2 linked regions of the Alligator mississippiensis genome follow. The protein of the gene in region 1 interacts with the protein of each later gene in a pairwise test. Links are inferred from orthologs where the notes say so. Each region holds a gene or a part of one and is shown in the gene's direction. Other genes may lie near its edges. The genes, in order: RBM41 and RALYL.

What was found.
Region 2: the proteins of RBM41 (region 1) and RALYL interact in binary tests that used the Homo sapiens proteins (3 or more experiments, as listed by UniProt). The two-hybrid records come from large-scale screens. The link is inferred for Alligator mississippiensis from reciprocal best matches to the Homo sapiens genes RBM41 and RALYL.

The regions. Positions count from the first base shown.
Region 1 is NC_081831.1:41,689,369-41,696,683, reverse strand, and holds the start of RBM41 (RNA-binding protein 41), read left to right. Parts: upstream 1-4,059; 5' UTR 4,060-4,158; coding exon 4,159-4,166; intron 4,167-6,610; coding exon 6,611-6,727; intron 6,728-7,315. Other genes in the region: NUP62CL (nucleoporin-62 C-terminal-like protein), read left to right, coding at 528-619. UniProt on the Homo sapiens protein: May bind RNA.
Region 2 is NC_081826.1:51,195,281-51,202,417, reverse strand, and holds the start of RALYL (RNA-binding Raly-like protein), read left to right. Parts: upstream 1-3,965; 5' UTR 3,966-4,191; exon of another isoform or gene 4,192-5,277; 5' UTR 5,278-5,364; intron 5,365-7,137.

The DNA.
Region 1 (7,315 bases):
TTATACTGAAGAGGGCTTTGATGTTAGTTTAGTAAAACTGTAATTAAAAAACCCACAACTGGTTTAAAATGGGTGGCTCAACCTGCACCCCATGGGCCAGGTCCAGCCCCTGGTCATCCGGCCTACAGGGCTCCCCATAGGTCCAAAAATTTGGCAGCGGGGCAGCAGTATCATTGCTCCCCTGCTGCCAGATTCTGCCCTCTTAGGGAGTCCTGCAGACCAGACATCTAGCACATGTGATCATGCTTGGGCACGCAGGCTAGTGTGGGGCCCTGTGCTGGTGTGCAGGGGCAATGCGGGGACCAATCCCAGCATGCAGACTGGCCCTGCACCACTCATCAGCCTGCAGGGCCAAAAGACTGAGCACCACTCATTTAAATATACAGCAAATCCCCTCTCCTTCCCCCCCCCCCCATCCCCCGTTTCTGAACCCTATCTTGGACACTCTGATGCATACCCGTGCTTTCCAGAGCTGTATCTTGGGACGTTCATTTCTAGGTTGATCACCTATGTGTCTTTGCCCACAGCCCTGCTCCAGAGGAAGGTGGAGGAGGTGACAAAAGTATGTGAAAGTCGCCGCAAGGAGCAGGAACGCAGTTTTCGGATCACTTTTGATTGAGCGATTCAAGAAAACTTCCCGCTGGAATATTCATCTGATAATCATTATGTAAAACTTGTGGGGGTTGGGGGGTCAGAGTGAATATTATGATACCATCTTGTTTTATTACAATAAAGTACTTTCCATTCCAAAGCTCCAGTAGTTCATAGTATCTATCTTAATGGATATCACATTGAAATTTGCAGTGTCTACGCTCCAGTTCTATGTTCTTTGTACATACAGCCTGTGCATCTACTCTGTGTTTGCTGTTGTCAACAATTTTAAATCTTGTGAAGTCAAGTGACCGACCTTTTATATACTTATGTCAAATATCCCCCATTATACTCGATTGAAAAGAGTGCTGCGTTATCATCTTCCTGTAGGAACTATTCCAAAATGTGAGACAAAGGTAGGTGTGCTAATAACCCAGTGTGTTCCTAAACTGGATATGCCATTCCTGGGGATTACCTTGATGTGTGTGTTATGGTATTGGCTTCATATGCTTTTACCTCTGAAACGCGATGCCAAAAATGGGGTAAAATAGCACTGTCGAAATGGTCATAACTAGTTATATCAGGGGCAGACAATTATTTCGGGTGGAGGGCCACTTGTTGAGTTTTGGTGGGGTGTGGAGCACCGCATGGGTAGCCCCACCCCTTCAGTTGCCCCAGCCCCTGGTCGCCATCTTGGGACCAGACATCCTGAACCCTGACCTTTGCCACTGGAAGTCCCTCCCCCTGCACAACTTACCAGGTAGCAAGGGGTTGTGACCCCTCTAACATCCTGCCCCAGCAGTGGGGTTTCAGGGGCATCAGCTCCCCCAGAACTTTCCCCCTACCCGTTCCAGCTGGTTCTAAAGGGAGGAGGTTCCACCACCACTTCTGCTGGCCAGTGCTGACCCAGTCAGGCTTGCTCCATCCCCAGCAGCTGGCTTCAGCTGCATGCTGCTCCGGATGAGACGGACCTGGCCAGGTCTGTGTCTCGGCCAGCCAGAGCTGACTCGAGGTGATTTAGAAATTGCTCGTTTGTCAGGGTGGGCTGGTGAATGGAGAGGCAGACAAGGTTTAATGGTTGTAAAAACTTTACTTACGTCGCGGGTGGTGGCGACGGAAACGGTCCGGTCGTCTGAACAACAATGTAAGTTGTTCCAGCTGGCGAGGCCAAAGCCAGCAAATCCGTCCGTAACTTAAGCCAGCGGGAAAAGTGTACGTCTGGGATTGCGCTCGGCAACGGGAAGAAGGATCAATAGGTGATCAGTCTATCGACCAGCTAGCCACAAGTCAGATCTCTTTAGAGGCGCTCTGCAGTGTGCTTAAAGTTCTTCAACTTGGGCGGAAGTTGCGCGAATTTTTAAACGGCCAGCAAGCCAATTACCAGCCACCACGTGTGAATAATTTAGCACTAGCCAATAGCGGGACACAGATTTGCATTCGAATAGCGGGAACTCTTTGCACCGTGCACTTCTGTGCTGCAAAGGGAAAATGCAGCCTGCAAAGACGGCTGCAAATTGGCGGGAACTCTCTCCTGCACGCGGGTTCTTTATGCAGCAAAAACCCTCGCTGTGCAAGAGGCTCTCATGTGACAAGAAAATTCCATAGTGTCGAGGCACCAAAATCACTGGGTTGTGACAGTCTGCACCAGCCAGGAAAGACAGCATGTAGCTGAAGTCAGCTTCCCACGTGCTGCTGTGGTTGAGAGGAGCCCGGCTGCGTCTGCACCGGCCAGTAGAAGCTGTGACAGAGCCATGTACCACTTGGGACGGGATGAGCCGAGGTGGAGGAGCAGGGGCTCAGCTGCACTTTCCCCCTGCCTGCACCGGTCAGTCCTGAGTGGCACATGGCTCCACCACCACTTCTGCTGGGCTCCTTCCATCCCCAGCAGCATGTGGGAAGCCGGCTTCAGCTGCATGCTGCTCTGGGCTTCAGAACTCCACTTCATCAACCTCCTGGACACTAAAAAGCATGGACTAAATATAGATATTGGATTTATGATGCATTATAACCTGCCTGACAGCTGACTTCCCAGGTACTTCACTATTCATCCCCCTTCTCTTCGCGCCCCCCTCCCCCCCCCCCCCCCCCCCCGCCTGTGTCTCACCCATTGACTCCTCAATCTCCATTTTCACTGACTGCCTGTCTTATATGCATACCAGCCCAGCCTCTGGCTTTTTGACTTTTCATTCCAGCCAGGAAGAGCACACACCAAATGCAGAAACTTCCTTAGCCTGAAGAAGGGTTTTTGAACCCAAAAGCTTGCTTAAAAATTGTTCTCCAACTATTTAAGTTGGTCTAATAAAAGATATCGGATTTACCCAAAGCACCTTGTCTGCCTGTGTCTCTAGACCAACACAGCTACAACCTACACCCCTTTAAACTAATTATACAGATAGTGAAACTTGATCCTAATTTATATGGTAACTTTCTTACACTGAAGATGTATGAGACTTGCATCAAGACACAAATGCCATTTTCTTGCATAGTGGGTCCTGGCCTAAGGTAGATACCTTAGTTTTGAAAGGCTGGATGAAGGAAAAAATGTTGCTTGTAGTGAGTAACTGAGTAGCAGCAGCTAGGGAGTTGAGCCTGCTTACTTGTGGATGGTGCGGAGGCTTTATTTTCAGCGTCTGGTGGCAAGGAGCAGAAACTGCTCTTTTTTTGCATAGTGTGGACTCCAGCTTCCTGCAGCTGGTTTTTATGCATGAAACTGTGGTAAACAGCAATAAGGCTTCACAGGGAGAAACAGCTTAGCTTCATTGGGCTGGGAAAACTCAGACTCCTACAGCTGAGGCAACATCTAACTGTCAGCATTTACTTTACAACATCAAACATACTGAATGCATTTTGTTCCTCATCCATGCTTAGGGTATCTCTGTTATCTCTGTTGCACGTGGGAGCACTGCCATAAAGCACTTGCATGCTCATATTCTGTAAGTGCATATTCTGTCTTGGAACAGCCCTGAAACAACTACCTCTGCCAGCTAAGAGGAGAGCATACCTCCAGTGTTGCTCAATGCTAAGGCAGCTACGTTGCTTCACTTAGGCACTAAGTTGCAGTAAGGTGGTAGGTGGACAAAGGGACGACTGTCATCTCACCAACACTTTTGGTAAGGCACCTGCACCCCAGGGCAGAGCTGGCTTGGGTTCTTAGTCAGCTGCTAAGCAGATGGACAGATGACAATGGGAACGGCGGCTGGCTCCAAACCTGTTACATGACTGCTCTTTTCAAACCGGGCTTGTGGGGGAGGGTGGGATTTAAATCATGACTGAAACGACTTTTCAAGGACAAGGGAGGGCCGAGCCCCCGCGAGCTTGAAAGGGATGCGGGGCTTGGTCCCGAGGCAGCGTCGGCTCGCCGGCAGATGGAGCCGAGCCAGCGAGCGCGGCCCCGCAGCGCCGCCCCAGCTGCGTGCGCGCAAACCGCGCGGGCGGGGCGGGGCGGGGCGGGGCGGGGCGGGGCCCGCCTCCCCACCGGCTGCCCCAGGCGCTTTGCTGCCGTAGCGCTCGGCGCTTGCCGCCATTAGGCAGCGCGGCGGGGCGGGCTCCGCGCTACTGCCGGCGGCCATGCGGAGGTGAGCACGGCCCCTCGCTCCCGGGCTTTGGGGCGCGGAGAAGGGCTGCTGCAGGGGTAGGGCACGGGGGAGAGGCGGGGCCCGCCGTGGCGCGGGGTCGAAGCTTACTCTCCAGCGGCCTGGCCCTGACCTGCCGTCTCCTCGACCTGTGCGCGGGCTGGTGGAGCCACCCCAGGCCCAGCGCTCGCTCCGCGTGGTGCCTGCCCCAGCCGGGCCGTGACACCTATCCCATGGATAGGTGTTTGGGTAGGGACCAGCCTGCCTCGGGCAGCGGCTGGACTAGGTCCCTCCAGCCCCACGTCTCTGGGAGTCCGTGATGCCCACTCTGGCTGGGCCGGGCCAGTGTGAGGGGCTGGGGTGGCACCATGTGCCACGTGTGGGTCTGCTCCAGAGCCAGGGCAGCACAGCAGGCCAGAGAATGGGGCTCCACAGGCCAGATTTGGAGGACTGGTTATATATTTGACAGCCCTGCCCTAGCAGAGTTGCTCCGGAGTGAGTGTGGGCTGTGTTGGCAAGGGGGTTGGTTGGCCAGGGAGGGAGACGCAGACCAGGCCCAACATTCACCTCCTGAGCTGTCTGGTCCCTGTCTTTGGCTGTCCTGTCAGATGCTGCTGCCCCAAGTCATGAGCTATTTTGAAATGCTGCTGATGTGGTGATAAGGACTTCCCAGTCTCTCCTGTCTGCAGGCTTTCCAGGAAGAGTTTTTAGCAGTTTTTCAGTACCAAGGTTCAGGCTTGTTGTTACTGATGAAGCCACTGAAAAGATTTTTTTTAAATCTCCATGTTAACACAAAGCAGCTTGGTCTAAGTGGGCTCCTCTTGCCTCTATAGTTAAACAGAATCAAAGCTTTCATTTAGGATCCAAGGACAAACTTTCCAGGTCTGGTTGTGAAGAAAGCTGTCCCCTGTTACAGAGCTGTTCACCTATATGTTTCATAGATTCATAGATGTTAGGGTCGGAAGGGACCTCAATAGATCATCAAGTCTGACCCCCTGCATAGGCAGGAAAGAGTGCTGGGTTCAGATAACTCCAGCCAGATGCCTATCTAACCTCCTCTTGAAGACCCCCAGGGTAGGGGAGAGCACCACCTCCCTTGGGAGCCCGTTCCAGATTTTGGCCACTCTACTGTGAAGAAGTTCCTCCTAATGTCCAGTCTAAATCCGCTCTCTGCTAGCTTGTGGCCATTATTTCTTGTTACCCCCGGGGGCGCCTTGGTGAGTAGAGCCTCACCAATTCCCTTTTGCGCCCCCATGAGTAATTTATAGGCAGCCACAAGGTCACCTCTCCACCTTCTCTTGCTGAGGATGAAGAGGTCCAGGTGCCCTAGTCTCCTCGTAGGGCTTGGCCTGCAAGCCCTTAACCGTACGAGTGGCCCTTCTCTGGACCCTCTCCAAGTTATCCACATCCCTCTTGAAGTGTGGCACCCAAAACTGGATGCAGTATTCCAACTGTGGTCTGACCAGCGCCCGATAGAGGGGAAGTATCACCTCCTTGGCTGTGTGACTGAGTTAAGAGCATAGGAAGTTCCATATCAGGTCAAAGCAGAGGCACATCTAGCCCAGTATTTATCTTGCAGTAGCAGAGTGGATGCCAAGTAGAAGAGTATTTATGCAGGGCTCCTCCAGAGTGATCCATCCCCTGCCCTTCCTGGGCCTCTGAATGCTGGAAACTAGGGCAGGAAGTCTTCCTTTTGAAGTTGCATGCCCAAACAGCCATGTTTGATTCCCACTGATGGACAGCCTGAACCAGTTTTGAGCACAGTGAGAGCTAACTCATTCGTCATAACAAAGTATGACTTGATAATGATTTAGAAAGCCAGCATTGCTAATTATTTTTGCTCTTCCCCATGTTAACTGAATCATCCAGTGCCTCCTACATTATAGGTGGAGTTTGAGACTAACGTCAGATGTTCCTTCCTAGTCCCATTCTTACCTCTTTCTGTGAACACCTAGAATTGAAGGATCACAAATAGTAAATGCTAATGTCCTTCTTTACTCTGTAGAGAGTAACCTACATGGAACAAGACGTGCCTTCGAAAGGCAGAAAAGAACATGGCTTTACGTTCTGTTTCTTTTTACATGAAGTCACTGGAAGCTAAGCAGGATCCATTTCTTAAAATAGGTCTTCTGGAAATAAGAATAAAAGCTTCCATTTGAATTAAAAATATACTCTTGGGATATCTTTTTTTTTTTTTTTTTTTTTTGGAGAAATAGTCTCAACTCTCTGCAACGTTATGCTTGGTATTAGTGGGAGCTCCATGGTTCAGGTTAGTCTTAGTTTCATCATGTTCTTCGGAGCCCATCTGCAGTGTCAGGTTGTCTTCTTAATGTCCTAATAAAGGATGGGGCAATCAGTGTGCTACCAAGAGTTCACTGTGGTGTATTAGGGAGTGAAGCCCCTTTTGTATTCTACTGACCACCTGTGCATTGGTTGTGATTCCCCAGGGTCAACAGCTGTCTGTCTGCTGATGATGTCCTCCTGGAGGATTTGGAGACAGAAGGAGAAAGGCAGCTGAAGAGCCTCCTTCACCATCAGCTTGACACCACTGTCTCCATTGAACAGTGAGTATTGAACCAGCTGGCAAAATACAAAAGAAGACAGAGGACATAGGCTACTGCTGCTGGCACAAGTGTACCAGTAAATCGAGGATGCTCAGATTACAAAGGATGGCAGGAAAGCATCACACTAATGGTGAGGGCATAGTGGTGCAGCTTAATTTCTAACAGAAATTATTAGGGACTTTTCACAGCAGGAGCTTCTTTTGCAGTGTCTTACTCAGGCAGTGAGCTTGGGAGTGTGGTTGTTGCTCCCAGCATTCTTCATGTGCAAACCCAAGGTGCAGTTAGATTTTTCAGCTGCTGGTGACAGATCAGTGGTGCTCAAAGTTCCAGCCTTGTGGGCAGGATGAATGGTGTGGGGTTGGTATTTGGGGTTGATTTCTGGGTGTAGTCTGGCATGCTGACCTGGCCCCACATGCTGGATCCAGCCCAGCATGCTGGTCTGACCATATGCATGAGATTTGCTCTGGAGTGAACCCTGGCTCTCAGGCTGTCTAGCATGGTAGGCCATGTCATCTGCCCACAGGGCTCTCCATGTGTCCAGAAATATGGCAGCGCGGGAGAGGCAATTAACACAGCCACCGCTCCCCC
Region 2 (7,137 bases), on another chromosome or scaffold:
ATTGTAAAAAATGATATTTCTTGGGAATCTTTTGTATCAGTAGGCAAGGTGCAGAATTGCTCAGGTATGCCATATTGTCAGTTACTTTTAAGGCAGCTTTTGAATTCACTTCAATGAGGTTTTATTGCTAGATAGCAGGAGCATATGAAAAATTAAAAAATAGCCACTAGGCACATCATTTGCATGCAATGAGTTGAATTTAAACATCTATGCCTTGGCTGTGATTTTAGTTAGGCCCCCGTCCCTTCTCTTTCAATTTAATTCATGCATTGCTGGTGACAAGCATGGTTCCTTTTGTTGAGTATTGTGCACACTTCCACATACCAGATCGTAAAATCTATGCATTAGATGCTAATCTCGCTCACTTAAGCTCTTCACTCATCTTTCAGTAGCATTCTGAAGTCTGTAGGGCCAAGACCTCTTAGAAGGGCCAGAAGCAGTTCCTATTAGGATACATCCCATGTGTTACTCAGTCCTTCTTAACCTACCCTGGACATTGTGTTCTTGCCAGACCACACACAGGATTTACCTCCAACAATTTAGTTCTCATAATCAGAGTATGAGCAGAAAATCACCATTCTGGGCACCTTTTGATGAATCACCTGTCCTCTTCCCTGACTTTTACCTACACTCTGTATGATCAAGTCTTTATAGACTTGAGAGTTCATTTTCTCAATATTTATGATCATGCCTAGACTGAGAAGTTAAGTCTTATGATTTTGGAGCTTTTTTCTCACATAGAATGCAATACAGCATTGTGCATATATACCTTTAAGTCAAACTGAACAATGCAGTTTCAGTAAGTGTTTAAGTATGGATTTGCACAATGATATTTTGGCTGTTACACTGTATCAAATAAATATCGTACTTTAAAAGTGAAAACATGCACAAATACATATTTACCTGATACAAAAACAACTGCAATCCAATTTATAAATAATATCTACTGCAACTCATAAAATATGTATTCCAAATACTATATCTATCCAGGTTCCTGATGGGATGCAGATCCATCACTCAGAATTTAGGTGATTTCTTGGACAGTGGTACATGCTCTTACATTAAATAATTTATTTTATTTTTATTTTTCAGAAAGAAACACATGCACAAACTTATAAAAACATAATAAGCAGCGATGGCAATAGAACAACAACAAAAGGAAATTCTAATTTAGGCCTTGATCCTACAAATAGGAATGTTAGTGGGACCTACTTATTTGCTTTCAAGCTGAATACTGCTAAATCTATAGGACTGGGCTTAACTCCTTAGCTCATTGGACGATATTTCTCCGTGCAGTGCTTACTTAATCCTTACAGGGACCGAATGTAAGAAAATCAAGAAAATATATTTTATACATGCTGAATTTCCAGATTATAGCACAACTATGACAATGTTGACTGAGTTTGTCACTATGTAAATCACTGTTGTTTGATGTGTTAGTTACATTATAAACCATTTTTATTTCCTAGGGGTTTTCAATATCCCTAAGGATCCCTTAATATTTCTCCATTTATAGCTCCCTCAGAGTTCTGAGATCTACAGTCCCAGTGCTGAAAGCCAAACTCAGTCATAAAAGAGCAGCTGGGAGCCGTATGAAAAGCCAGAACAAATTTAAAACCAAAAATAAAGAGAAAGAAACCCAAAGAAGCATGTTTTATTTTATATTGTTAAACTGTAGCCATTATTCTTTCTTATGGAGAGCTACAATTTTAAAACAAGTTGAGAACAAAAAAGAAACAGAAAAGGAGAGTTTTAGTTTTTATCCACCAAAACACTAGTGTAGAGGTATAGGACTGGAAGGACAGAAAATTTGTGGGGAAAATGGACTTAACATATGATAAGGAAGGGCTGAGTTAGGAGAGGAAGATGCAGAGATGATGCTGTCAATCTTGAATTCAGAAAATCATCATTGTACTGATCAAGGCAGTAATTTTCTTTTTGAGTAGTAATCTTATTGTTCTTTTGCATCCTGATTGGCTATGTGGATGTTTTCCCATAAAATAACTGGTGTTTAAATTGAACCCACACAGAATAATATGGCAATGGAAAAAGTAGAACAGAATGAGCATAGTGGAACATTGTTTCTACTATTGCTTATGTGTCAGGGGAAAATAGTTGATCTAAAAAAATTGACTAAAATGAAGAAATAAAAAGTTTGGGAAAATCAGAAGGGTTGGAAAGAAGATAACTGAACAAAAGAGAATACAGGAACCACTTTCTCATTTTGGCCTCCAGTCTGACTTGGATATTTCTTCTGCACTTATTCCTATCACTGGTATCCTCTATTCTAACTTACAGTTCTTTCCTTTCCTGACATCTGAATTCTGAGATGCGAACGAAGGAAAACACTGGTATAAGAGTTGTCTGGCTTGCAGAGTCCTTTTCAATGTATTGTTTGTGGAGGTACTTATAGCCCTGGACACATTGATTCCACAGAGATATCTTTCCCCACAAGCCTCCCCTGCTGCAGGCAATACCCACTTGCCTACATGAACCAAATACTCAGCGAGATTTGTTAGTTTTTGACATGGCATTTTGTTTTTCCATGAAACCAAAATTATTTTGGTCCATTCATTTAGAATCCCAAGGGGCACATCTACACATTCATTAATGCCCCGCAATTACAGTGCATTAAGTTTAGTACCTGTAATGCCAGATACTAACTTATGGTGCTGCAATCAGCACTACTGCACATTAGCAGAAACGGTCTTGTTGTGACATTAATGCACAGTAGACTAAAATTACTGCACATTAGCGCATTGGCACAGGTTTTGCCTGCCATGCTAATGTGCAGTAGATTTAGTCTACTGCACTCGACCCACCTCGTGTAGATGCTCCCTTAACATGGAGAATCTGCAGCGAGACTCACTGAAAAGTTACAGAGGCTTCACACTACCGTGCTGAAATGGTCGCATCCTTCACTAGGCTACCAGTTAGAGACTGGAAAGCTGCTCCTCCTCCCAGCAGCGAGCAACTGCAGGGTTTGCGGATGAAGAGGGAACGAGGAAGGCTGAGCTGGAACAGAGATGATGAAAGAACGACCCTAGGCTTGCCTTTGGGCTGTGCTTTTCTGGGTTGTTTCTTGTGCAGGGTGCAACAGGGCAGTCCAGCCCCCAAGCCTAAGTCGTCCTTGGTCGATGCGGGGGCGGATCCTGTACGTGCTCTTTCACAGGAGGGGGCACCCGCATGAAGTGACCAGCTCCTCTCCCCGGAGTTAACTCGGGGGACCCGGAGGGTGAAGCGCCGCTGCTTTTCTGCCGGGAACTTCCTTCCTGACAGCAGCAGACCCACCTGTCCCCGGGGGGCAGGGCAGGGCAGTGCAGGGGCGCAGGGCACCCGAGCAGAGTAGGCGGAGAAAGGGTCCGGCGCCGGGGTGTTTCTCGCGGAGCCCAGCCCCGGCTCGCGAGCGCCCCTGGCGCCGGGGCAGCGGAGGTAGGGGGAGCGCCAGGGACCAGAGCTCTGCAGCCGGCCCCGCGGGACGGGCACAGCCCCAGCCCCGCACCTCTGCCTGCCCGCGGCGCCGGGGGAGGGAAGCCGCAGGTGCCAGGTGCACCGGGCAGGCTCCAGGCGAGGGCAGCGGGGAGGGGGGACTTCGAGATGCGGAGGGAGCAAGTTGTGGCCCCAGCGTGCGACACACACACCCCAGGCGTCACACACACGCGCGCGCATCTCACACACACACACACACACACACACACACACGTGGGGGTGGGTTGGGGGGGCTCCGGCGCTCCCCCGACTGCAGCCGCCGCCAGCTGCCCTGTCCCCTGCCTGCCTCGTGCGTGTGCGTGTGTGTATGTGAGTGTGCGTGTGTGTGTCACGCAGCGCGCGGAGCCCGTGCGAGAGGCACCTGCTCCTGTCTGGCTGCCGCCGCCTCCAGCCTCCGCCGCTCGCTGCGGGCTCCAGTCTCCGCCCCGCCGCCGCCGCCGCTGCCGCCGCCGCCGCGCGAGTGAGTCGGGCTCCTCCGGTGGGGTTCACCCCTTCCCCCCCTGCCTGCGAGTCAGCCTGGCTGCCGCGCGTCACGTGCCCGCCGCCTGAGGCAGCGACCGGAGCGAGGGGAGGGGAAAAAATAGAAAGAGGAGGAAAAAAAAAGAAAGAAAAAAAAAAAGAAAAAGCGCCTCATTCCTTCCTCCACCGCCATACTGTATTTTGTAGTAACTCATTTTTATTCCTCCCTTTTACTCCCGCTCGGTGAGTACCTTTCCGCCGGCATTCTTGTCCTCCCTTTTTTCCTTTTTTTTTATTTTTTTTTTTGTCCCGGGTTTTTTTTTCTTCCTTTTTTATTTTTGCTTCTTTTTTTTTCTTCTTCTTCTTCTTCTTCCTCTTTGATTATTGTTTCCAGGGATTTGATCCTTTTTTTGTTTTTCCTGAGGGCAAGTTTTTTGGTTTTTGTTTTTTTTTCCCTAGCATGCGATGGGGGACCAAACTGTGAGCAGACGGTGCTGCCGGGGCTGGGAGTCGGCGGGGATGGCAGGGGCCTGATCCTGGCCGGGAGGACGAGCCCGATAGCGATAAGCGAGACGACTCGCCAGTCCAGAGACGGGCTCTGTCTCTAGCCAGACCTTTCTCATCTCTCTCTCTCTCTTTCTCTCTCTGTCTGTATGCAACTGGTTTTGTGGTGCACAGTATAACCTAGAAAGCATTGCTTTTTTTTCAAACAAAAAAAGAGCAAAAACAAAAGGCATATGTCTTATAACTCCCCTTTTTATTTTTTTGCAGAGGATTTTTTTTTTTTTTAATCCCGGATGGGGTTTGAAATTTTGGTGTTGTTTTTCATCTTCTTGGGGTTTTACTAATATTGTTTGGTGTGTTGCTTTTTTTTTTTTCTTCGGTGGGGAATTGCAAGTGCGTTTTACAAGCCGTGTTTACCAAGAGTTTGTGATCTTGCAAAAAAAAAAAAAATTCAAACCGGGTGCAAGATGCTCGTTTTGTTGCTTTTTGCTGTGGTTTCCCCCTTTTGCCCCTCGGTGCAGTCAGCAACGTTTTTTCCCCCTTCCTTCTTCTTCTGCTTTTGATGCCCGTTTATAACGTGAAACTTTTCTTGCAGCTCGTGGCAGTTGATCCTTTTTAAATACTTTTTTTTCCTCCTCCTTAAAACCAACCCAAAGAGAGAGAGAAAAAAAAAAAAATCCAAGCCAATGATGGTTTACTTTTGCACATTTGACTTCTTCATTCTTTTACCTGCGTAATCTTATAATGCTTGTGATTGCCATGATGATGATGCTGGTGCTAGATAGATACATATATACCAATAAATACATTTTCAAATGGTGGCAGTGGAAGGTTTTCCTGGAGAATGAAGTGCGGTTTGGTTTCCTTGTCAACGGAAGATGAAGTGAACAACTGAGCATCTCCCCAGTGCAGGTACATCTCCTTGGAGGCGTTTCCACTCTTTGTAAATTATATTACGAGATTTTTTTTGTAATATATATATATCAATCTCTCCGGATTCGCAGCTAAAGGTATTCCCGCAGTAGAAGGAAGATGAAACTAAATCCCTGTCTGCCGCCTGATCGCGTGGATGCTTGCAAAATATTGCACTGATTGAGCTCAGGTCGGTTGAAGCTGCGAGTGGTGGTTTCTCTACTGTACTGTGTAGCAGGGTGGCTGGGGGGGCCACGACCCGCAATGAAACCTGGTGGTGAGAGGGGACACTTCGAGGGCTTAAAAATAAGAGGAGTGGATTGCGAGTAGGAAATATGATGTGTGTGGGGGTGTAGAAAATGCCCACTACAAAGTCTTAGGTGGCTGGGAGAGAAGCAGCAGAACAGGAGCCCTGCGAGAGGCTGGCTCATTGCCAGACATACTCCATATCCTGAAGGAGATTTCCAACTTCTGTTCCTCCTATTCAGGAATGATCAAGGCAGCAGATCGGCTCTTGTCAGGCTTGGCTCATTGGGATGGAGATTAATTAGGAGCCGATCTTTGTTTTCAGGTGTTTCGTTTTGTTTGGATGATTATTAATGTTACTTGCCTGCCAGGGATGGGAAACGGTGACTTCGCGTGACGGTCACTGAGAGTTCAGGATTGGGGAAGAAACTGTTACTTCCTATTAAGAGTATGTAACTGTTTTGCAGTGCCTAAGACGCTCCCTGATTTAGAGGCAGGGTATTGGATCACTAAAATACGATTTGGAGAGATTTTTCCAAGTGAGAGGTGTGGTGATTTCCTTCTTCCCTTCCAAGGAAGTGATTCGTTAAAGTTGAAGTACTGATTGTTTCAATCTGCAGTGTTCTCTGTGTTTACTTTTATGCTGATGGGACTGTTTAAAGCATTTGTGTGTAGACAATTTTCAGAGATTTATAACACCCTTCTAAAAATATACTCTGCATTCAGCCATAACAAGGAAATTATCTTCTGAGAAACAGTTTACCTCCCTCCCTCCCCAGATGTAAGCAAACCTTTTGTCAGTTTTGAATTGATGGGAATACAGGGGCATTTGGAAGCTAAAGGCTTCAGATACTGTATTCTTCTAACTACTTTGCTCTTTGAAATTGGGAAGTTTGTATACCAAGTGTGATGCACAGTCATTTTGCTGAGTATGTGGAGCAACAAAATCCACTGACCTCGGCTATCTCTGTAGAAATGTAGTGATTATACAGGGATGGTATCCTTTTTCCACAAAAGTGTAATAAACATACTTAGTAAAAAGATGTACTTTGCATGCATGGCATCTGCATTGACATGATGGACTGACTACCTTTGACAATATATTGAGCTAATAATCCATGTTTCAAGAAGCCACTATCTAGATATTTATCTGATAGATGATGATGATTTCTTTGGAGTACTTACAATCTGTTGGTGCAATAATCACATTTAAGAAGTTTCAGACTGCTTATATTTTCATAATGGAGATGGAGAGAAATACATGAATATAAATAGTGATCAGAATGCTATCTTCTGTTGCTTCCTTTTCTTTTTAAATTACAGGGGTTTTTTTCTTGAAACTGAGGAGAGTGGACAGTTAGCCAGACATTTTTAGTATTGTGTAGATGTTTAAACAAATACATTAGGCAAGCAGTTTCCAGCTGACTTCCCTTTGGTCCATGGCTTGTCTTGCCTTTTTTCAATGTTGCAGGTGTGTTGTATGAGTAATTTGGATAGTAGATAGTTGCTGACTCTAAGCCAAATCTT